4 linked regions of the Arabidopsis thaliana genome follow. The protein of the gene in region 1 interacts with the protein of each later gene in a pairwise test. Each region holds a gene or a part of one and is shown in the gene's direction. Other genes may lie near its edges. The genes, in order: PYL11, AT5G51910, NRT1:2 and MYB77.

Region 1 (4,402 bases):
TTTCTTTTAACATCTGTCAACTATTTGGTTCTTATAATACACTATAAATGTGTGATTAATAAGTGTGATTCGTGTAAACCAACGTGGAACCATTATTTGCCACTATTTTTAACACAGTCCATGTCATATAACCCGCCAACCACAACCGCAAATTGTTCCTTACAGTATTTTGTATACAATTTGCTATGCTACACTGTTTGATACTTACTCAGGCCGTTAAAGTATTTTGGTATTTATGTGCATGTATAAAATATCACAATGGACTTAAACTAAATATTTTATTCCAAAGTTAAATGTCATATAGAATATATAAATAAATTTTCGTTGTTACTTGTTATGCGTTCAGAATTTCATAATTTTAGTATTTCTTTCAGTCGGCCTTGTTCTAAAGATATTTCTCATCTTTTTGTCGACCTATAGATTTTTCTCATATATAAATACTAAAAAAAACTTGCCACTACGTAAAATATTTGAAGACAACAACCACAACTGTCGGTAGGAAAACAAAATTGTGAAACACCAAACAAACACGTATGAAAACATCTCAAGAACAGCATGTATGCGGTTCGACAGTAGTACAAACTATCAATGCTCCGTTACCTCTAGTATGGTCGATCCTACGTCGATTTGATAACCCAAAAACATTTAAACATTTCGTAAAAACTTGTAAACTACGCTCCGGCGATGGAGGAGAAGGCTCTGTCCGTGAAGTCACGGTGGTTTCCGATCTTCCGGCGAGTTTTAGCCTAGAAAGATTAGATGAACTTGACGATGAGTCTCATGTGATGGTGATCAGCATTATTGGTGGTGATCATCGTTTGGTTAATTACCAGTCGAAAACTACGGTGTTTGTGGCGGCGGAGGAGGAGAAGACAGTGGTTGTGGAGAGTTATGTGGTGGATGTGCCGGAAGGAAATACTGAGGAAGAAACTACGTTGTTTGCTGATACTATCGTTGGGTGTAATCTTAGGTCATTGGCTAAGTTATCGGAGAAGATGATGGAGCTCACTTAAAGTTGTAAAAGTCGTGGGATTGTAATAATAGTATTAGTTTTTAGAATTTAAAAGTAAAACTCTTACATTTTTACGAGGTTTTGGATATATAGCAACTAGCAAAATATGCTTATTCAACTGGGAATAATATAGGTATAATTATGTATTTATATGTCTTGTGAAATTAAAAATAATTGTTTAAGTTTCTTTCTTAAATGTCATTATTCTGTTTGCCCAAAAGTATATACAATTTTAGTTTGAGTCCATTTCTAAACTCTCCTTTGTAAATGTATTGATATAAGCCAAATTTTGAAATCATTCAAGTTAAAAAGTTAAAATCATTTTTTTTTCTTTTGATTAAAACTCTTGTTGTTGTAACAGGAATTGACTTGTGAGTACTAACGTGTCCAGCGAAATAGCTTTCTAAAGCAGACTCTGATCGTTCAGTGTCTTATACCTTCTCAGTTGAAACTTGATGCCAAAGAGCGTCTTTTAGCATGTGCAAGTGAAGAAATTAAACATAGTTCGCTTATAAAATAAAAAGTATATTTTATGATTCATTTTTTTCTTGCACAAAAAAAAAATACAAAAAGTTGAAATACAATGGTAATTAATGTAATTAACCCTTCGTCTCCAACAGCTTCTTTTTAAAGAGGAAAAATAGTTTAAATTCTGTTATATTTGGCTGTAGCTCAATTGTTCAACTTCTACTTATTTTTACACTTTTTCTCACAAGAAACTAATTACATACTAGTAGAATGAAGAGCCATTTCAAACTATTTTTACTTGAAGGTAATATTTAAAAAACATTTTGCTAATATGTTGGTAAACAATTAAAAAAAAAAATAACCTCACTTATACATATTTACTTAAGATTTTCTTAAACAAAATTAGGATTGTTCGATTATCCTACTTACATATGCTAAAATACGGCCTTGAATCTTGATAGATTGCATGCAAAAGTCTTACCGAAATTATTTTCATCTCTAATCATATTGATCGACTGAACTCGTAAACGTTTTATTCTGTTTAACTTTATTTTATTGTGTGTCTATTTTTATTTTTGATCAGATTAAAATATAAGAGTTTGAAAATGTGAGATTGCGATTACGATCGAAGGTTCAATTATTTGGTCCTTTTCAAATTGTTAACAAAAGAAAAAGGGACCCTATAAAAGTTAAACAGAAATACAATTTGGTTAAGCTTATCGGTTTCCGGTTCAATTATCTTTACCTTCTGAAGGAGTAAGTGATGCTATTTTGGGCTTCAAATGGATCTTTAATCTGTAGGCTCATTGGGCCTGTTCTCAACTTGGCGTTTAAAGATATGTCCTTCCCTCTCTCATCTGTTCTTGTTTGTTTTTTTTTTGTTTGTTTTTTTTCATTTAGTCAAGTTTTTATCAACAAAAACAATGTCTATAAATGTGTGGTAAATAAGTGTGGTTCGTATGAACGAAATCGAAAACGTGGATCTATTACATGCCACTAGTTTTTCCACAATCCATGTCATAACCCTCCAAATTTAACCGAAATACATTCTTCATTACAATGACGTTACAAAACAAATGTGCATTCTAAAGTTTACAATTTATTTAAATATATTTTACGGACAAATATGTAGCCATATGCCTATATATTGTCACCATATGCTACACATCCTACACTGATTAATCAGTCTTTCTTTTAAAGCATTTTTTTGGTTTTATGTGCATATTACAATGTATTCTTTTAAAATATATATACACTTTAAACTTCTTTTTATCATCTTATGTTATACAAATCAACAAAGTTTTTCTTACTTGATATTACATTCATATTTTGCAGAAAACACCAAAAAATGACAACTCATATTTTTTTTTAGTCGGCATTGTTCTTAGATATTTCTCGTATAAATACTCGAACACTAATGCATGGAAGCTTCAAAAAGGTTTGAAGATACTGTCACACAAAACAACGGTCGATAAAAGGACAATTTCGTCAAAAAAACAGCAATACACAAATGGAAACTTCTCAAAAATATCATACGTGCGGTTCCACACTAGTACAAACTATAGATGCTCCACTATCTCTAGTTTGGTCAATTCTACGTCGGTTTGATAACCCTCAAGCCTACAAACAATTCGTGAAAACGTGCAATCTAAGCTCCGGCGATGGAGGAGAAGGCTCCGTCCGTGAAGTGACGGTGGTTTCCGGTCTTCCAGCGGAGTTCAGCCGAGAGAGATTAGATGAACTTGACGATGAGTCTCATGTGATGATGATTAGCATTATAGGTGGTGATCATCGTTTGGTTAATTACCGGTCGAAAACGATGGCGTTTGTGGCGGCGGATACGGAGGAGAAGACGGTGGTGGTGGAGAGTTATGTGGTGGATGTGCCGGAAGGAAATAGTGAGGAGGAAACGACGTCTTTTGCTGATACAATCGTTGGGTTTAATCTTAAGTCATTGGCTAAGCTCTCGGAGAGGGTGGCTCATCTAAAGTTGTAATTTTTAGATTATAGTTTTAGTTTTTAAGAATTATAATCAGGTTCAACTAGCAATAGTCATGGTCGATGGGAAATAAGTAAGTATATGTATAATATTAAATATAAGGAGTATTTGTTAGTAACTTAATTATTAGTAAGTTAGTTAGTATCTTACGTTTGTTCTTTTATTTCATTTTAAAAAAAAGTTTCTGTAATTTTGATGTGGTAGAAATCTAGAAATAGATTCTTGGTTGGCTCAGAGCTTTTGAATGATAGGCAATGGATCTTCCACGATATCTAAGAGCAGTTGTCATGCGAAAGACAATCACTAGTTCTACCCTGTCCTTTTCACCTCCGCAAATTTAGGGTTCTTTGTTATCCGGTTAATGAAACATGCTCAACATTTAAAAGTCTATAGTCTAGTACATTAAATGTAGGGGTCGGTGACTTTTTTTTTTGGTCCAAGCCTCCAAAGTTTTTAAAAAAACACTCCATTAAGACGTTGGTCCTTTTTTTCTACATAAAAACAAAATTGCCGCTGGTGAATTGAATGAACATTTACAGACAGTTTTGAAGAGTTTGGTATTTAATAAATTATATTAAATGACAATATTAATAATTTGCTATCTTCTTCACCTTGTTTCGATGCATCTAAGGTCCACATTATTGATTACAAGAAGGTACGCCTTGTTTATTTTTGGGAGTAGTTTTTAGAACAGCAAAAGGTATTTGATGATTTTTTTGTTTGCCAATATACTTTCATGATTTCCTTTAAAATAGACCATATGTTACTATTTTTATTTTCCTCTAACTTTAAAATATAGTGCCCAAGAAAGAGACAATAAATAACGACTGCACTAAAAAACGTGCACAATTACTTGTATACTATAAGCTATATACATACATTATGAAGCTTTTGAAAGGAAATTCCACTGCCTCTTACATCCG
Region 2 (4,630 bases), 2.5 Mb from region 1:
ATAATGGGGTTTCTCAAAATCTCCGAGGAAGACTACTCAATGGTCTTCACCGCTAATAGAACTTCTGCTTTCAGGCTCGTCGCCGAGTCTTACCCGTTTAACTCAAAACGGAAGCTCTTGACGGTTTACGACTACGAGAGTGAGGCGGTGAGTGAAATAAACAGAGTCTCTGAGAAACGTGGAGCCAAAGTAGCTGCAGCTGAATTCTCATGGCCAAGACTCAAACTCTGTTCGTCCAAGCTGAGAAAACTGGTTACTGCTGGGAAAAACGGAAGCAAGACGAAGAAGAAAGGTATTTACGTCTTTCCGCTTCATTCTAGGGTTACAGGATCTAGGTATCCGTATCTATGGATGAGTGTGGCACAAGAAAATGGGTGGCATGTAATGATCGATGCATGCGGTTTGGGACCTAAGGATATGGATAGTTTCGGGCTTTCTATATATAACCCCGATTTCATGGTGTGTTCGTTCTACAAGGTGTTTGGAGAAAACCCTTCCGGATTTGGTTGCTTGTTTGTCAAGAAATCCACCATATCGATTCTTGAATCTTCCACTGGTCCAGGTATGATTAACCTCGTACCTACCGACAATCCGATTTCATTACACGCGTTGGAAATCAACCGAACACAAACAGATTCGGAAGAAACATATAGCTTTAGCTCTAGTGTCGAATACAAAGGCCTAGATCATGTAGATTCACTAGGGTTGGTAGCAACAGGGAACAGATCAAGATGCTTGATAAATTGGTTGGTAAGTGCTCTCTACAAACTCAAACATTCAACAACTAGTCGTCTAGTTAAAATCTACGGTCCGAAAGTTAATTTCAATCGAGGACCAGCGGTTGCGTTCAATCTATTCAACCATAAAGGCGAAAAAATCGAACCTTTTATCGTGCAGAAGTTAGCCGAATGCAGCAACATCTCACTCGGTAAAAGTTTCTTGAAGAACATCTTGTTCCAAGAAGACTACGAAGGCGTGAAAGATAGAGTTTTTGAGAAGAAAAGAAACAGAGACGTCGACGAACCAAGGATCTCTGTTCTCACTGCTGCGTTAGGGTTTCTTGCTAATTTCGAAGATGTTTATAAACTTTGGATATTCGTTGCTCGGTTTTTGGATTCAGAGTTTGTTGATAAAGAGAGTGTGAGATGTGGAGTTCATGTTTTTGAACATAAGAACCGTGAAGTAGTCTAGTTAACATATAGCCTAGTTTTGGCTCGGTTTGCTTTGGTTCACTTCTTACATCAGAACCGGTTCAAGTATCAATGAAAATTTTGATTTTTGTTCAGTACAAAGTCAGCGTCAACATTAGCGTCCAAGTAGCACCTCTATCTCCCACTAATTTTGATTTTGCTACTGATTCAAAAAAAAATAATTAACTTTCGAAAAAAGGTAGCTCATATATATTTATTTACAATTCGCTCATTCCTAGATGTCAAGTAGATATGAACGGGGCAAATGAATGCCCAATAACTAAAATAAACCCATATCAGCTATATATTTCTTCGGTTGTTAAAAATTTTGATTTTATAAAATTTATTGCACAAATGATTTTCTAGATGTTATTTTTATTTTTATTTTTAGTATGATAAATACTAAATTTCAAAATGCAATGATTGAAAATAATTAAACTTTTAATTTTATTAGCTCATAATTAAACTTAAAAATATTTAATATAAAAAATGTTAATGATTAGATAATGTTTTTTTTTTAATATGTGAAAAAATCCCAAACATCAATCTATTATAAAAATATGGAATAATACTTTTATTTAATCTATTTTTTTAGTAGTCAACATCAAAAGATTATTACAAATGACCAATGTTGATAATTTTAACTTATAAATATAGTATTAAATAATGAATAGTGAATTGTTTTCTTTTTGGCGGGTGAAACCTTATTTCCAAGCTTCATACTCTAGTCTTCGAGAGTCATGCTTAGTAATTGACATTTTTTGTTGCCATCATTTCTTATAAAGCTTACCCTAAGCTTGCAAGAATATTTACCGAGTAGTTTGGAATCTTGGTGTTGTAAATCATGCACTATTTGTTTTACTACGCAGTTCCAATCTTCTCGTGGGGACCAAAGTTTTTCAACCTTGTATACAACAAAATCAACAAGGGATTAGGTACACCAAATTGGTTTTTACGAAAACAGTAACATGCTATCAAAATAGAGACTAGTCGTTTTGGTGATAGAATTCAGACCAAGACAATAATGGTTTTACTTGTCAATAATACTCAGAAATGAACATAAGCTGCACTTGTCAATAGTACTCAGTTTTGAGATAGCTAAGTTTTGTATTGCCCTAGTTATGGCTCGGTTTTGTCCAATTCGGTTGGTTTGGTTCACTTCTTAAATGGAAACCGGTTCAACTGTACAACTATCAATAAAAAAAAAAAAATTAGCTCCACAACATGACTCTTGTGATGTGGTCGAGGCCAAGGCCCATTAGTTAGCTAAAACAGGCCCATATGAAGTATGTGATCTAGACCGTTGATTTGTAATGGGACTATATAAAAATAAAAACGATGATCTTGAGGGCCCCTTCTTCCATCTTTGTAGGGTTCTTCGTGCAGAGGATAAGGTTAGCTGTGGTTTTTTAATTTTATTTTTCTACCTTTGTAGGGTTTCCTCACTTTTTTTTATCCACTGTTCTTTAGTTTTCAATCTGTCAAATTCAAACAGATAACATTTTTCGTCAAAAGAATCAGTAAAAACTAAACATTTTGACTATATCCTACTTGAATCAATTCTTCGGCTGATTTTGAAGTTTTGTGACATTCAGATATTCTAGGGTTTTGTGGTAAATGGAATCGAATCACGAAGGCAACGCGATACAAGTGATTGACCAAGTAACAACCATGACCCATCTGTCTGACCCGAATCCGAAAACCAAACCGGGTATGATGCTCATGAAACAAGAAGACGGGTATTTGCAGCCGGTGAAGACTAAACCGGCTCCGAAGAGACCGACTTCTAAAGACCGTCACACGAAAGTAGAAGGACGAGGTCGGAGGATCCGAATGCCGGCGGGTTGCGCTGCTCGGGTCTTTCAATTGACCCGTGAACTTGGTCACAAATCCGACGGAGAAACGATACGGTGGTTATTGGAACGAGCTGAACCGGCGATAATTGAAGCAACCGGAACCGGAACTGTACCGGCTATTGCTGTATCGGTTAACGGAACTTTAAAAATCCCGACGAGCTCTCCAGTGTTGAATGACGGCGGCCGTGACGGTGACGGTGACCTAATAAAGAAACGGAGGAAGAGAAACTGTACGAGCGATTTCGTAGACGTTAATGACAGCTGTCATAGCTCCGTTACTTCTGGGTTAGCTCCGATAACGGCGTCAAACTACGGCGTTAATATCCTGAACGTTAATACACAGGGGTTTGTGCCGTTTTGGCCTATGGGTATGGGTACTGCGTTTGTTACTGGTGGGCCGGATCAAATGGGCCAAATGTGGGCTATTCCTACCGTTGCTACAGCTCCGTTTCTGAATGTTGGTGCTAGACCGGTGTCTAGTTATGTCTCAAACGCTTCAGACGCTGAGGCGGAGATGGAAACGAGCGGTGGCGGAACGACGCAACCGCTGAGGGATTTTTCGTTGGAGATTTATGATAAGAGAGAGCTTCAGTTTTTGGGTGGCTCAGGGAACTCATCTCCGTCTTCATGTCATGAGACTTAAGGAATTTTAACTCTTAGTTCTAGTTTCTTTTTAGTTTTTAGTAAGTTTGATTCCTGATTTAGGTTAAGTAAGATTTGTAAAAGAATTGGGAGCACAATTTCAATTTTATGTTTCTGTCAAACATTTTGGTAATTAATGGAACTATCCTATCATTTTTAAAAAATAAATCAAAATGAGATTAAAAATGAGTCTGCTAAAACGCCAGAGGTTGAGTCTGCTAAAGCTCTCGACACAATAGTAGAAGGAATAATGTATAGGCACGTTAAACCTAGATTCTCGTGGAAGCTACAAAGCTGGATCGGAGTTGGGATGGAGAAGAAGATGATAGAAGCTGGTGCCATTTTTGATCGAGTGTGTGGGAAATACATATCAGCCAGGAGAGAAGAGGTAAAAAGATCACAAGTGAATAATAATGATCATTTCATTAGAGATAGTCATGCAAATCTTTTGACATCTCACATAAAGCTTGATACAACCCAGTACCAGCTCTTGGATCCTATCAATGATAAATTCTTAAGAGACAATGTCTTTGCTTTACTTCTAGCTGGGAGAGATACCACTGCCTCTGCTCTCACTTGGTTCTTTTGGTTTTTGTCCGAAAACCCTCTAGTGGTGACCAAGATTCGCCAAGAGATTGACATGAATCTACCAAGAAGTTGTAGTGGCCAAGAGAGACCATCTTGTGATCCAATGGAGTACTTAAACAAAGATGTACTTAAACAAGATTTTGGTCTTTATTTATGGGGTGGTGGGTAGGATGAGAGCTGTATGGGGAGAAGATGCATTAGAATTCAAGCCAGAGAGATGGATTTCCGAGACCGGAGAGTTAGCATTCAATGCCGGTCGAGAATATGCCATGGTAAACAAAGAGCTATGGTTCAAATGAAGATTGTGGCGGTGGAGATATTACAAAACTATGACATCAAGGTTGCCAACGGGCA
Region 3 (7,850 bases), on another chromosome or scaffold:
ATTGGTTATACAGTTTGCAGACCCCTGCAAGGTTGGCCCCAACTTTAGAACTGATAATATAAGAAATAAAAAAGCATTAAAAAGAAAAAAAATCTTCCCAGCTTCAAGTCAGGTCCATGAAATGGAGAAGTCAGCAGTCAAACATATCACAGCTCATATACAGACGAGATTATAAAAGGGAAATAGAAAAAGAAGATATAATTTCACGGGCAGTCTAAAGAACTTTGGTTATGAATATTTCGTATAATTTAATGTCAATTTGTTGTATGCTTTATGAAAAGAGAGAAAGAGTTCTAAAAAATTGAAAATGAAATAAATAATGTAGAGAAAAGAGAGGGTCGGTCACTGCCACAATTAAGCGGAAGTGGAGAATGGTTGGTATTTGTTGTGTCCTTCAAACCTCAAGAAGCTTCAATCTCAAGATCCTTTTGTTTTATTTTCTGCAGATTACTTTGTAAAATGGTTTATTAGGTATTTTTATATTTGCAACAGTCTTTTTAACATAAACAGATGATATCTAATTCTATCGATCTTGCTAGGAAAAACAAAAAGAGAATTTTCTTCTCGAGTCTTTAACACTTTAGTGCAGAAATTTATGTGGTACGCTTAGTCAAATTCAATAATTGTTTGTAAATGAATCCACAGAGTTGAATATTGGAAAATTAATATATTGCGGCTATATATTTCAAGATAATTAATGTTTCGGATTTTTTTTCGGTACATGCTTTCTAATTCACCGGAATATTTTATTTCTCATTGACAATTGTGTTTTTAACTAAAATTAACACCAAAAAAAAAACAGTGTTTTAACTAAAGGATGTGGTTTGTTGTTTATGTTAACCACAACAATAAATTCTGAAGAGAAAAAGTTTGCAATAGAGACTGAACCAGGTTTACAATAAAATTCCTTAATGGAAGGGAAATAAATCAAGAAAACAAAACAAATATTGCATGGATAAGAAAAACACGACACTTGTCTATGCAACTTGTTTCTTTAGTTGCATGAGATCACTTTAATGTTAAAGTCCTCCCAAACAGTATTGGATTCTTCGTTATAAAAAGACCTCAGGGTGATTAGAGCCTTGTCCTTGTGAATTTGAATCATATACTCCAACATGTATACACGTACACACAAATACGTATTCATATATGGCACTGGAATAATCAATATATTCAATTCTGAGAATAGTAGAATAGCACTGGCCTAAAAAAAAAGCATTAGTTAAATTTCAGCATATTCTTGTATCCATGCCATGATAATGGTTACTTTGTTGTTTTATTGTCTATTATTTCTATTATATATGAACTTTCAATTTGAATTTTAGATATATTGGCAGTACAAATACAAAAATTACTTTAACCACTATAGCTCCTCCGAGCATTCGTCACTGATCAGTGAGTGTGTGTTTATATATGCGATATTAAATTAAATAAGTTTTTCTTCACACTGTGTGTGTGTGTGTGTTTGTGTGCGTGGTAACAATAAAGTTCTGCGTAGACGACACGTATCCAATATTAATGGAGTTCCGAAAGAAAGATCTTCTGGCAAAACCATCATATATAGAGACAACAGTTTATTTTATCTTTTAAACAAAAATACGATCACATTTTTTTTACCTAAATTGCTAATAAAAAGTACATAGAAAATGGTTTACAAATATCAGCCATTAACATATATAGTTCAATATTACCCGACAAACAAAAACATAGTTTATTTATGATTCTATCTCAAAAGAATTTAAGACGTCAAAAGAGGTAATTAGTAACATCATTTTATTGGAGATATTTTGCAATGAAAACTGCCATGAATAGAAAGAGGAGGAATCAGTAGGTCTAGATTAAGTGAATGTTCTACTTCATTTTTGTTTTAGTCAAAAAGATAGTTTCACTAAATTTATTTTAAAGCCATTAAGTGGAGGGCTTGATTCCTTCCATCACCTTTATCTTGCCCTCAACTTTTTTTTTTTGGATTTACTTGCATCCTTCTCCATTAAACAAACCAAACCCAAATATAGTGTGTATTTTATTTAATAATTATGACCAGATAAATGTGGTAGACTAAAAGTTTATTTTACGTGAAACAATCTATGTCATTCTTTAACTATCTAGAAGAATTTAGTGTTCATTAACATGTAAATGTGAACGAATAATATAATGTGAGTAATCGATATGCAATCAATCCTTAAACTTTGTTACCACTATACCTTGTAGAGAATAATAGAACAAAATCAATTCTCATATGTTAATTGGTATTGGAAACCCCATTTCAAAATCAACTTGCATATTAAGTAAAGGGAAAACAAACATGATTGATTAGTCTTTATTCCACCACTATATTACTAGCTTTATAAATTCTTGGAATTAATATCATCTTTAGTGCCCTAAAAACAAAGAAATAAAGCTAGTTTTCTCTAGAGGAGAAGAAAACAATGTTATTTCCTAAGAAGAGCATAAAGAAAACTACAACATGAAGTCATTTTCTAATAATAAAGAGGGCCCAAATTCTTCTTTCTTCTCACCCAATTGGACCCTTCCTCAATCCCTTCTCCTCTCCTCTCTTTAAATTCCGCTAATACCCTTCTCACTTTCACTCTTATATTTCATAAAAACCTTTTTTTATATCTCCTCTACCTCAAAGTTTGAGAGAAAGAAAGAGAGAGAATGGTGGGTTCTTGAAGCTTCTCACATTATTTTCTTCATCGTTCAAGAAATCAATATTTGATGATGTTTCCTTTTATAGAAATATATGTCTTTTTCTCAAAGTCTTGTTTTGTTCTTTGCCATATTATTACAGGAAGTGGAAGAAGAGGTCTCAAGATGGGAAGGCTACGCCGATTGGAGAAACAGAGCAGCCGTGAAAGGCCGTCACGGTGGCATGCTCGCCGCCTCTTTCGTCTTAGGTCAGTTTCAAAATTCCAAATTTACCCCTCGATTCTCTTAATGCATCTTTTTCTTTATCATCCACACATTTATATTAAGAACGATTCTCTAATGGATCATTGTGATTGATTCATATATATTTGTCTCTTATGAAGTGGTGGAGATATTAGAGAATCTAGCGTATTTGGCGAATGCGAGTAATCTTGTGCTATACCTAAGAGAATACATGCACATGTCTCCATCAAAATCGGCAAATGACGTCACCAATTTCATGGGCACAGCTTTTCTCCTAGCTCTCCTCGGTGGTTTCCTCTCCGACGCTTTCTTCTCCACTTTTCAAATCTTCCTCATCTCAGCTTCCATCGAGTTTTTGGTAAACCTCTCTTAATCATTCTTATAATCACTTCATTTTTTTACATTTTGTTAATCTTTAAAATTTCTAAACTTAACAAGGAACAACAAATCAAACTCCACTTATAAAAATATTCAGAAACTTTGTTATCCATTAGATTACTTTAGTTTTCTTTTCTCTATCGCTTAAGTTTTAAGTTACTACCGTTGACTTTTGTTTTTAATGGCTAAGCCACCACAATCATAAATCCGTTCACATTAAAATAGATCCCACATGTATATCTATACAATTATTAGCATAAAAGAAAATTATCACACATGAAAATATGGTTGTAGCAAAAAAAAATCCAACGAACCATGCGTGCATTAGGATGCTGATAAAAAGGACAAAAGCAAAGAGGAGCGTGACTTTGATACGGTACCGTATCCGTATCTATAAGCAATGCTTTGTTTTGATCCTAACACGACACATACGTGATAACATCTATAAAAAATCCGTATGTTAAGGTCGGGACCCAAACGTATTTTTATCAGTTTTAACTGTCACTGTCTCAGGGTTAAAAGAGGAAATTTAAAAACTCTTTCTTGGGTTTCAGTAACACAGCAAGCTTTTTATTTTATTTTGTTATCTTGTCTTTACGTATGATAGGGTATGAAACTATAATGTCCACTTATATAACATCTGCCACTCGTACCCTCGTGACTCTGCAACTTAATGTTACAAAAGACAAAACAAACTTGTAGTTCTAAAGTACAGTTGGGGCTCTTAATGCTTTGTGGGTAGCGTTTGGCCGGACGCAAACGCAAACGCTCACTCTTCTACTTCCCATTATGGATAGAGATATTGATGGTTCATGTATACCTATACACTATCATAACTTCATTAGAAAACTTATAACAGATTACAAGAAAATATATATAGCTGACTTAACTTATAATCTCCTTGTCACTTTTTATAGATTTGAGTCATTTACTTGTATGATATGAAGTATTTATATTCCATATACATTCATCTAGAATCAACATATATCAATATATGATTGGATAATGTATACTAGAGTCCAAAACTTTTAAAACCCTGGTGTTACGTCAGTGTAACCGAAGTTATTTCTTCAAGAAAAGGCAGTGGCCAATGAGGCGACCACACGAAAATTAGGCTTTGTCCATACCTCATTTAATAACGAACGACGTTTCATCGTTCATAACGGTTTCAATTATTTGTATCACGTCGCTGATCTGACTCTCACGAACCACAAGGGTTAAAATCTCTCACGTGCCCCTGGTCCCATTCCCATACTATTCTTTGCTAATCCCAAAAAAATAACCGTCTCTAGTTAATGATTTTAACAAATCAATAGGATTAAAATTTTATTTGGGAAACGTGCAGGGATTGATCATACTCACAATTCAAGCTCGGACACCATCCTTAATGCCTCCATCGTGCGATAGTCCCACATGTGAAGAAGTGAGTGGTTCGAAGGCAGCGATGCTATTCGTGGGGTTGTACCTTGTAGCTTTGGGTGTGGGAGGGATCAAAGGTTCATTAGCATCTCACGGAGCAGAACAGTTTGATGAGAGTACACCTAAAGGTCGGAAACAAAGGTCAACGTTCTTTAACTACTTCGTGTTTTGTCTTGCTTGTGGAGCACTAGTTGCTGTCACGTTTGTAGTTTGGTTAGAAGACAACAAAGGATGGGAATGGGGATTCGGTGTTTCTACCATTGCTATCTTCGTCTCTATTCTCATCTTTCTCTCTGGATCAAGATTTTATAGGAACAAGATTCCATGTGGAAGTCCTCTCACCACAATCTTGAAGGTTTGTTTTGACCTCTTTAGCTCTTATTGGAGATTGACGTGTGCCCTAAGTTATGTATATGATTTCTTTATTCAGGTTCTTCTTGCGGCTTCGGTTAAGTGCTGCTCGAGTGGAAGTTCAAGCAATGCGGTTGCGAGTATGTCCGTGAGTCCCTCAAATCATTGCGTATCAAAGGGGAAAAAAGAAGTTGAATCACAAGGAGAATTGGAAAAGCCACGTCAAGAAGAAGCTTTGCCTCCTCGGGCACAACTAACTAACAGTTTGAAAGTATTAAATGGAGCTGCGGATGAAAAACCTGTCCATAGATTGTTAGAATGCACAGTCCAACAAGTGGAAGATGTGAAGATTGTCTTGAAAATGCTTCCGATATTTGCTTGCACTATCATGCTTAACTGTTGCTTAGCTCAGCTCTCTACATTCTCCGTCCAACAAGCTGCTTCCATGAACACAAAGATAGGAAGCCTAAAGATACCTCCAGCTTCCTTACCGATCTTCCCCGTCGTTTTCATAATGATCCTCGCACCTATCTACGACCATCTCATTATCCCATTCGCTAGAAAAGCTACCAAGACCGAAACAGGAGTCACTCATCTACAAAGAATCGGAGTAGGTTTAGTTCTTTCGATATTAGCAATGGCGGTTGCAGCTCTAGTTGAGATTAAACGAAAGGGAGTGGCTAAAGACTCCGGCTTGCTTGACTCGAAAGAAACCTTACCCGTGACTTTCCTATGGATCGCACTTCAGTATCTTTTCCTAGGGTCAGCCGATCTATTCACACTAGCTGGACTACTAGAGTATTTCTTCACGGAAGCACCTTCCTCAATGAGATCTCTCGCAACATCGCTCTCGTGGGCTTCTTTGGCTATGGGGTATTACCTAAGCTCAGTGATCGTGTCCATAGTAAACAGCATCACAGGAAGCTCAGGGAACACACCTTGGCTCAGAGGAAAAAGCATAAACCGTTACAAACTAGACTACTTCTATTGGCTAATGTGTGTTCTTAGTGCAGCTAACTTCTTGCACTACCTCTTTTGGGCAATGCGTTACAAGTATAGATCAACTGGTTCAAGAAGCTAAAATTGGATGGGCAACTTTTGAGTTTTTTTTTTGTTTTTAATTAGAGCAGAAAATGTTTTTACTTGAGCGGCTGTTATATAAGAGATGATAAATGGGGGTAAGTAGTAATGTTGTGATCAGGTATATATTGGGGTTTGAAGTTTTTATCGTTGGACAAGTAATGTACAGCGAATGATATTAACTTGCTTTAAGTCTTTCTTTTGTTCTTGTGGTGTACGAAATTGAGTCAAGGTTTTGATCTTTGATATATTCACAAAAGTTGATACTGGAAATTCTGTGAATACTTATTTGAATTCTCAGCAAGATACTAAAGAACTGGAATTTGAGAGAAATGATGGATAAGGAGGCCCAAGGATTTTTTGTCATTTGTGTGAGAAAACGATGGTCACGAGGCCCAAATATTTTTGACATGGCTTGGAAGATAATAAGGAAACAAAGCCCATTTATTGAGGTTTTGGTCAGTCATGTAGTGTGGTAAGTAAAGTTATAATCAAAACATTTCTTTTGTTTTTTTCTTTGAAGACAAATTGATTCCTTACGTCTAAACATACTACAATTGATTAATTTGGATTCCTTAAATCTCTCTAGACAAACATCAGATATCATGATAGTAGAGGTTAAGATACTTAAAATACTATATATTTACAAAAAACACTTAAAATACTATATAGAAACGATAATAAAAAAAAAACTCTTTTTTTTTCTGAAACAAAATTTTCTTTACTAAGAAAATTTTGTTTCAGAAAAAGAGTAATTATTTTTTTTTAAAATCTTTTTTTTGTTTTGTTTTTTGTCGACAAAAAACGATGAAAAAGTAATCACTCAGTTTTTTTTTCTGAAACAATTTTTCAAAGCTAGAATAAATTTCTCACAAGGGATTTAAGGTGATTGTTTTTGAAAAAAAAATCCAAAATTATGATAAAATATTAATGCTGAAATAAATATAAACTAGAATTATTTTTGTCCAAATTTTTCGTAAATAAATTTTGTAAACAGCGATTATGACTCTGGCAATTTCTTAAAAAAGAATTGGATAAGTACTGATAAATTTGTATTCTCTCAACTAAAATCTCTTTTTAATAGAAATAAAAGCTAAATCCCAGGAATCCCATTTTAGTACCAGTCGTGGTATAAATATTAACACTTACTGATTGCCGAGAGACGAAAGAGGAAAATCCCAACAATAAAGAGCAAACGATCTTACAGCTCATAATATTTCGTTAATTATCAAATTGCTAATAGGTAATTTCGCGGAATCTTCCTTTGTAATTTCCTCCAACTTTCTCTGCTTTGCTTATAATTGCGTCTTTGCTTCCTCCTTTACCTTTACGCGGCACATAGATTATTCTCTCCAAGTGTGTTAATTTCTCTTCTTCGTAATCTAATTTTGTTTTGTTACTGTTGATTTGTGTCTTTCTGTTTCGTGGACTCTTTTTGACTCCCATCAATTTTAGGATTCTTCTTCGTGTGTGGATTTTGATTTCTTCTTCTTCTCTGGTGGGTTTTGGAACTGTTAGGCTTTTGGGTATTTTGTTGAATTCCTTAGGGTTTTGTAGTAAGATTTTGATAATTATTGAATCGTTTAGAACAAGAGTCAACTTTTTAAAGTCATTTTATAGAATCTGAGTCTACTAGTCGTTGAATAAATATTCTTAAAGAAATGATTTTTATAATCTTCTTCTCGTCGACTTTATTTATTATTTAGAATCTTGTATTTGTTTTTATA
Region 4 (5,299 bases), on another chromosome or scaffold:
CCTCAATTTAGTTTACAAACCAATAAAACTTAACATGGTATATATTATAGTCTAATTCAACCCATATAATATAACCTAAATAGGATAAGTTTTCGATTAGAAATACACCAAGAAAACCATCATTTAAATATGACATGTTAGAATGTGGAACACATAATAAAAGTAAACATATTGTTAACTTTTATAACCAAGACTAAGTGTATTATTATTATTATTTTTTTTTATTTTTTTAAAATATTAGGAGGTTTTGGGCCGAAACCCGTAATCTCTACAGACCCAAAATTACAGCATATAATATTAGTTTCGTCACTAGAATGTATTATTAGTATGAAAGAAATAACAATTAAGGGAAAGTTTGGTCAGTAAACTGAAAACCAACAACATCAAAACTGAAATAGTTTCGGTAATCCGTTTATAATTTGACTAATTAGTATGTAACTAATTCGACATAAAATACGGAAAAAGATAAATTAAAAAATAAGTTGTGAAACCGTTCGATGAAGGTTGGGAAGAAGGTGCAAATGACGTTTAGTGCGTTACTAACGTAAGAGACAGTTACACACAATTTCAAAAACAGTTCCAAAAATTTGACACGTGGCAGTTTGCTTAATGGACGACAGTTAGTTGTTTGTTGAGGATTACAGCCTGGATTTTCGTCAATCAAAAACTATATATTATAAATAAATATGATTTCATTCACATTCCAATTGGCCTAACACTCTTTTGTCGTGTTGTCCATGTCAGCAAATTTTATTTTTATTTTTCCGACCACTTACTTTTATCTTGTGTGGCCGTTTCTTTGTAACAAGTTTATGAAACAGAATATTAATCGTATCTAATCATATAAATGTAGTTTCCCGTATTGTGTAAATACTATATGACTTTGATTTGGGGCATTCAAAAACGTACCATTAACAAATAGTCACAGACAAAAAAACCATACAAAACTGAACCACATTTCTATAAACGATACAAATATTTTTATCCCAAATTTGTAGCACTAGGCAGTTTGAACCTTTTTCAGTTAGAAAGATAAACCAAAAGGAAGTAAAAAATATTAATTTCATCGCTCAAAACTGTTACAATTACTGTTTAACCAGTCATAAATTAGTTAATGTTTTTTTTTAAAAATGTGTAATCAAAATTTTACTTTCAAGAGTGCCAGCTCTATACTTGCAATTACTTTAAAATTTAAAAATATACAAATTTTAAATTATGTGTATTGTATTCTCGAGAAAAAAAAAAAAAGAAATCTATGAATAATTAAAACGTAGCATAACCGTTACAAGTATAGTTTCAAATTCAACGAATCAAAATACTTTTTTAAAAGTAGCTAATACTTTTCTCGTTTCAAATTAAATGTCGTTTTGCATATTAATTTTTGTGTCATATTAAACGTCGTTTTATATTCTATGCAGATTTTATGTATAAACTTTATTGGTCAAAAGCGTTACGAATATCGTTTCAAGTTCAACGAATCAAAACATATTTTATAAAAACATCTAATACGTTTTCCGTTTCAAATTAGATGTCGTTTTGCATTTTAATTTTTGTGTCAGTCTAATGTCGTTTTATATTTTCTACACATTTATATTTTCAAAAATTTCAGTTTTATTTTTATTGTTTAAATATATCATCCAATTTGAAAATAATACAATACAATAACAAAAATAACATTTAAATTAAACAAAAATATTTTTAGAACACTGTGATCAAATTTTATCCTCCAATATTTCCCGACCCATAAACTTTAAACCTTATGTAACTTCAAAAAAAAATTCAAATTAGTCGTTTTGTATTCTACAAAATAAAATAAAAGGAAAAAAGTTTCAGAGAAAAGGGTAAATTTGCATAACAAGGAATACAGGCTGGCGTGTCCAGTCAAAAAAGTCAGAAATCTGCATAAAAAACTGTCTTTACCCAAACTGCCAAACCTAACCGTTATCGTCTCAGATATTATTATTATTTTTCAAATAAACATTCAAAACAGCTTTCTAATTTTTCACCTCAGATTGTGCGAATAATATCAGAGCTCTTTCCTTGTAGGTTTCCGTGATTTTGTCGCTTTAACTTCCCTTCTTTTCCCACTCTCTTCTCACGCGCGCGTGCTTCCCCTTTCTCTCTTTCGACTGTATCACACGCTCCATAAACTAATAAACAGACGCACCGAGATCACGACACGTGTACACCTACAGCTGTATCCCAAAACTTTCAAAACCGCTTGCGTGGAAGAAGCGGTGCATGACTTTCTCCACCGTCTCTACCGGTTACCGGTTATTATCCATCCTCCTCTCTATCTCTCTCTCTGTTATAAATACCTTTTTTCTCCTCTCTTCAGTTTCCTCCACCTTCTTCTTCTTCTTCTTCTTCTCTACAACAAACAAACAAAAGATCTGTTTCAATGGCGGATCGTGTTAAAGGTCCATGGAGTCAAGAAGAAGATGAGCAGCTACGAAGGATGGTTGAGAAATACGGACCGAGGAATTGGTCTGCGATTAGCAAATCGATTCCAGGTCGATCTGGTAAATCGTGTAGATTACGTTGGTGTAATCAGTTATCTCCGGAGGTTGAGCATCGTCCTTTCTCGCCGGAGGAAGATGAGACTATTGTAACCGCCCGTGCTCAGTTTGGTAACAAGTGGGCGACGATTGCTCGTCTTCTTAACGGTCGTACGGATAACGCCGTTAAAAATCACTGGAACTCTACGCTTAAGAGGAAATGCAGCGGAGGTGTGGCGGTTACGACGGTGACGGAGACGGAGGAAGATCAGGATCGGCCGAAGAAGAGGAGATCTGTTAGCTTTGATTCTGCTTTTGCTCCGGTGGATACTGGATTGTACATGAGTCCTGAGAGTCCTAACGGAATCGATGTTAGTGATTCTAGCACGATTCCGTCACCGTCGTCTCCTGTTGCTCAGCTGTTTAAACCAATGCCGATTTCCGGCGGTTTTACGGTGGTTCCGCAGCCGTTACCGGTTGAAATGTCTTCGTCTTCGGAGGATCCACCTACTTCGTTGAGTTTGTCACTACCTGGAGCTGAGAACACGAGTTCGAGCCATAACAATAACAACAACGCGTTGATGTTTCCGAGATTTGAGAGTCAGATGAAGATTAATGTAGAGGAGAGAGGAGAAGGACGTAGAGGTGAGTTTATGACGGTGGTGCAGGAGATGATAAAAGCTGAAGTGAGGAGTTACATGGCGGAAATGCAGAAAACAAGTGGTGGATTCGTCGTCGGAGGTTTATACGAATCCGGCGGCAATGGTGGTTTTAGGGATTGTGGAGTAATAACACCTAAGGTTGAGTAGTTTTGGTTTAGGGTTAAAACTTGAATCGATTGGGGATTTTCAAGAGCATTCATTTTTGGGGTTTATGGTAAAATTAAAAACAAAAACAAAATGTACAGAGGAATTAAAATTTCTATGGAATAATCTTAAATCTCAAATATTTGTTACTTGTTTTGGTGATTCATAACCAAAATCTATAACAAGTCTAAATCTAAAAATTGAACCTTGATTAGTGAGACATTATCATACAAAGAGACATACTGAGTTAGTCAACAAAATGTAGGATAACTACATTCTTACATATTGTATAGATGAATTTCATGTTAATCCTTTCATAGAGCTATACAGTAACCATGATTAGTGAGACCTTGTAACATGTAGTATCAAAATCAACAAAGGTATAGATTTAACATCTATTTGAAAACATTCGAACCTTTTATTTGAAAATCTTTTGCTTGTTGTAAGAGATTTACTCTATAGTCTATAGATAGTAATTAAACCTTTTCTATAGGTTTGGTAGATTACTTCACTTTTATATAAAATTAATTACTGTCAAATCGGATTTTTGTTAACATAATTATTTTTCGACAATTTAGAAATTATCGTAAAAATTAGATCAATCTTTCTACATTCTTACAAAAAATAAATACATTGTCTAGAAAATCAGTTTTTTTTTTTCGTTTTAAATCTATAAAAAAACTGACAACAACAAAACAATACATACTTTTTAATTACTATAGAGTAAAATCTCTTACAACATGCCAAAGATTTCAAATAAATTGTAGGAAGATTTTTATGTTATTTAACCATTCTACAGTATAAATAAACACTGGTACAGCGATGTTAAAAAGTAGAGGTTAAAAAAATGCGTTAAAAACACAAAAGCTACGTCGTTTCAATAACTGGGTTTTGTCTCAAAGAAAGCTGCTTTTGGTTCCCGTAGATCTAAAGTTACGTTCGAGTCTCCCCTCTTCTCTCCACTCACTCAGCTCTTTTGATTCCCCTCCAATTTTCTCCGACGGTACGGTCGAAAAATCCAACCGGAGATCAAATGGCACTGCCGTCGATCTCATCAATCGGCGCGACGTTCTCACTCCTAATCTATTTATCTCTTCCTTATTCAATCACAGCTGGTGAAAACAACCTCCTCCACCAATCTCCAACCGCTAGATCACGACGTCCCATGGTGTTCCCATTGTTCCTCTCTCAACCAAATTCTTCTTCGAGATCCATATCAATCCCACATCGAAAACTCCACAAATCCGACTCAAAATCACTTCCTCACTCTCGCATGAGACTCTACGACGATCTTCTTATTAATGGGTAATCTCCTTTTCCATATTTCCCGATCTGGGTCATGTAAAGATGTCTCTTTTATATACTATTATATCGTATTTGTAGGTATTACACTACGAGGCTTTGGATTGGTACACCACCACAAATGTTTGCTCTTATAGTTGATTCTGGTAGTACTGTTACTTATGTTCCTTGTTCTGATTGTGAACAATGTGGCAAACACCAGGTAATGATGGCTCTAGATATCCAAATCTTGTGTCTTGTCTCGTGTAAAGTTGCAAATTTTGAAACTTTCTTATGGTTATTGATCAGGACCCAAAATTTCAGCCAGAAATGTCTAGCACTTATCAACCTGTTAAGTGTAACATGGATTGTAATTGTGATGATGATAGAGAACAATGTGTTTACGAGAGAGAGTATGCTGAACATAGTAGTAGTAAAGGTGTTCTTGGAGAAGATCTTATTTCATTTGGCAATGAAAGCCAGCTAACACCTCAACGAGCTGTTTTCGGTTGTGAAACTGTTGAAACCGGTGATCTTTATAGTCAACGTGCTGATGGGATTATTGGATTAGGTCAAGGAGATCTTAGTCTTGTTGATCAATTGGTGGATAAAGGTTTGATAAGCAACTCTTTTGGTTTGTGTTATGGAGGGATGGATGTTGGTGGTGGTTCGATGATTCTTGGCGGTTTTGATTATCCATCTGATATGGTGTTT

What was found.
Region 2: the proteins of PYL11 (region 1) and AT5G51910 interact in binary tests that used the Arabidopsis thaliana proteins (3 or more experiments, as listed by UniProt).
Region 3: the proteins of PYL11 (region 1) and NRT1:2 interact in binary tests that used the Arabidopsis thaliana proteins (3 or more experiments, as listed by UniProt).
Region 4: the proteins of PYL11 (region 1) and MYB77 interact in binary tests that used the Arabidopsis thaliana proteins (3 or more experiments, as listed by UniProt).

The regions. Positions count from the first base shown.
Region 1 is NC_003076.8:18,603,175-18,607,576, reverse strand, and holds PYL11 (PYR1-like 11), read left to right. Parts: upstream 1-2,899; 5' UTR 2,900-2,990; coding exon 2,991-3,476; 3' UTR 3,477-3,587; downstream 3,588-4,402. Other genes in the region: PYL12 (PYR1-like 12), read left to right, coding at 534-1,013. UniProt on the Arabidopsis thaliana protein: Receptor for abscisic acid (ABA) required for ABA-mediated responses such as stomatal closure and germination inhibition. Inhibits the activity of group-A protein phosphatases type 2C (PP2Cs) when activated by ABA.
Region 2 is NC_003076.8:21,093,763-21,098,392, reverse strand, and holds AT5G51910 (TCP family transcription factor), read left to right. Parts: upstream 1-2,501; 5' UTR 2,502-2,584; intron 2,585-2,690; exon of another isoform or gene 2,691-2,785; 5' UTR 2,786-2,807; coding exon 2,808-3,689; 3' UTR 3,690-3,827; downstream 3,828-4,630. Other genes in the region: AT5G51920 (Pyridoxal phosphate (PLP)-dependent transferases superfamily protein), read left to right, coding at 1-1,191; AT5G51900 (Cytochrome P450 family protein), read left to right, coding at 3,939-4,400, 4,446-4,630.
Region 3 is NC_003070.9:26,295,219-26,303,068, reverse strand, and holds NRT1:2 (nitrate transporter 1:2), read left to right. Parts: upstream 1-2,384; 5' UTR 2,385-2,661; coding exon 2,662-2,664; intron 2,665-2,794; coding exon 2,795-2,900; intron 2,901-3,035; coding exon 3,036-3,253; intron 3,254-4,618; coding exon 4,619-5,047; intron 5,048-5,122; coding exon 5,123-6,124; 3' UTR 6,125-6,529; downstream 6,530-7,850. UniProt on the Arabidopsis thaliana protein: Low-affinity proton-dependent nitrate transporter. Involved in constitutive nitrate uptake. Not involved in histidine or dipeptides transport. Involved in (+)-abscisic acid (ABA) transport, but not in gibberellin, indole-3-acetic acid or jasmonic acid import.
Region 4 is NC_003074.8:18,556,154-18,561,452, reverse strand, and holds MYB77 (myb domain protein 77), read left to right. Parts: upstream 1-2,126; 5' UTR 2,127-2,401; coding exon 2,402-3,307; 3' UTR 3,308-3,846; downstream 3,847-5,299. Other genes in the region: AT3G50050 (Eukaryotic aspartyl protease family protein), read left to right, coding at 4,338-4,609, 4,688-4,808, 4,895-5,299. UniProt on the Arabidopsis thaliana protein: Transcription factor involved in auxin response. Functions in auxin signal transduction and modulates lateral root growth. Interacts with ARF response factors to promote auxin-responsive gene expression.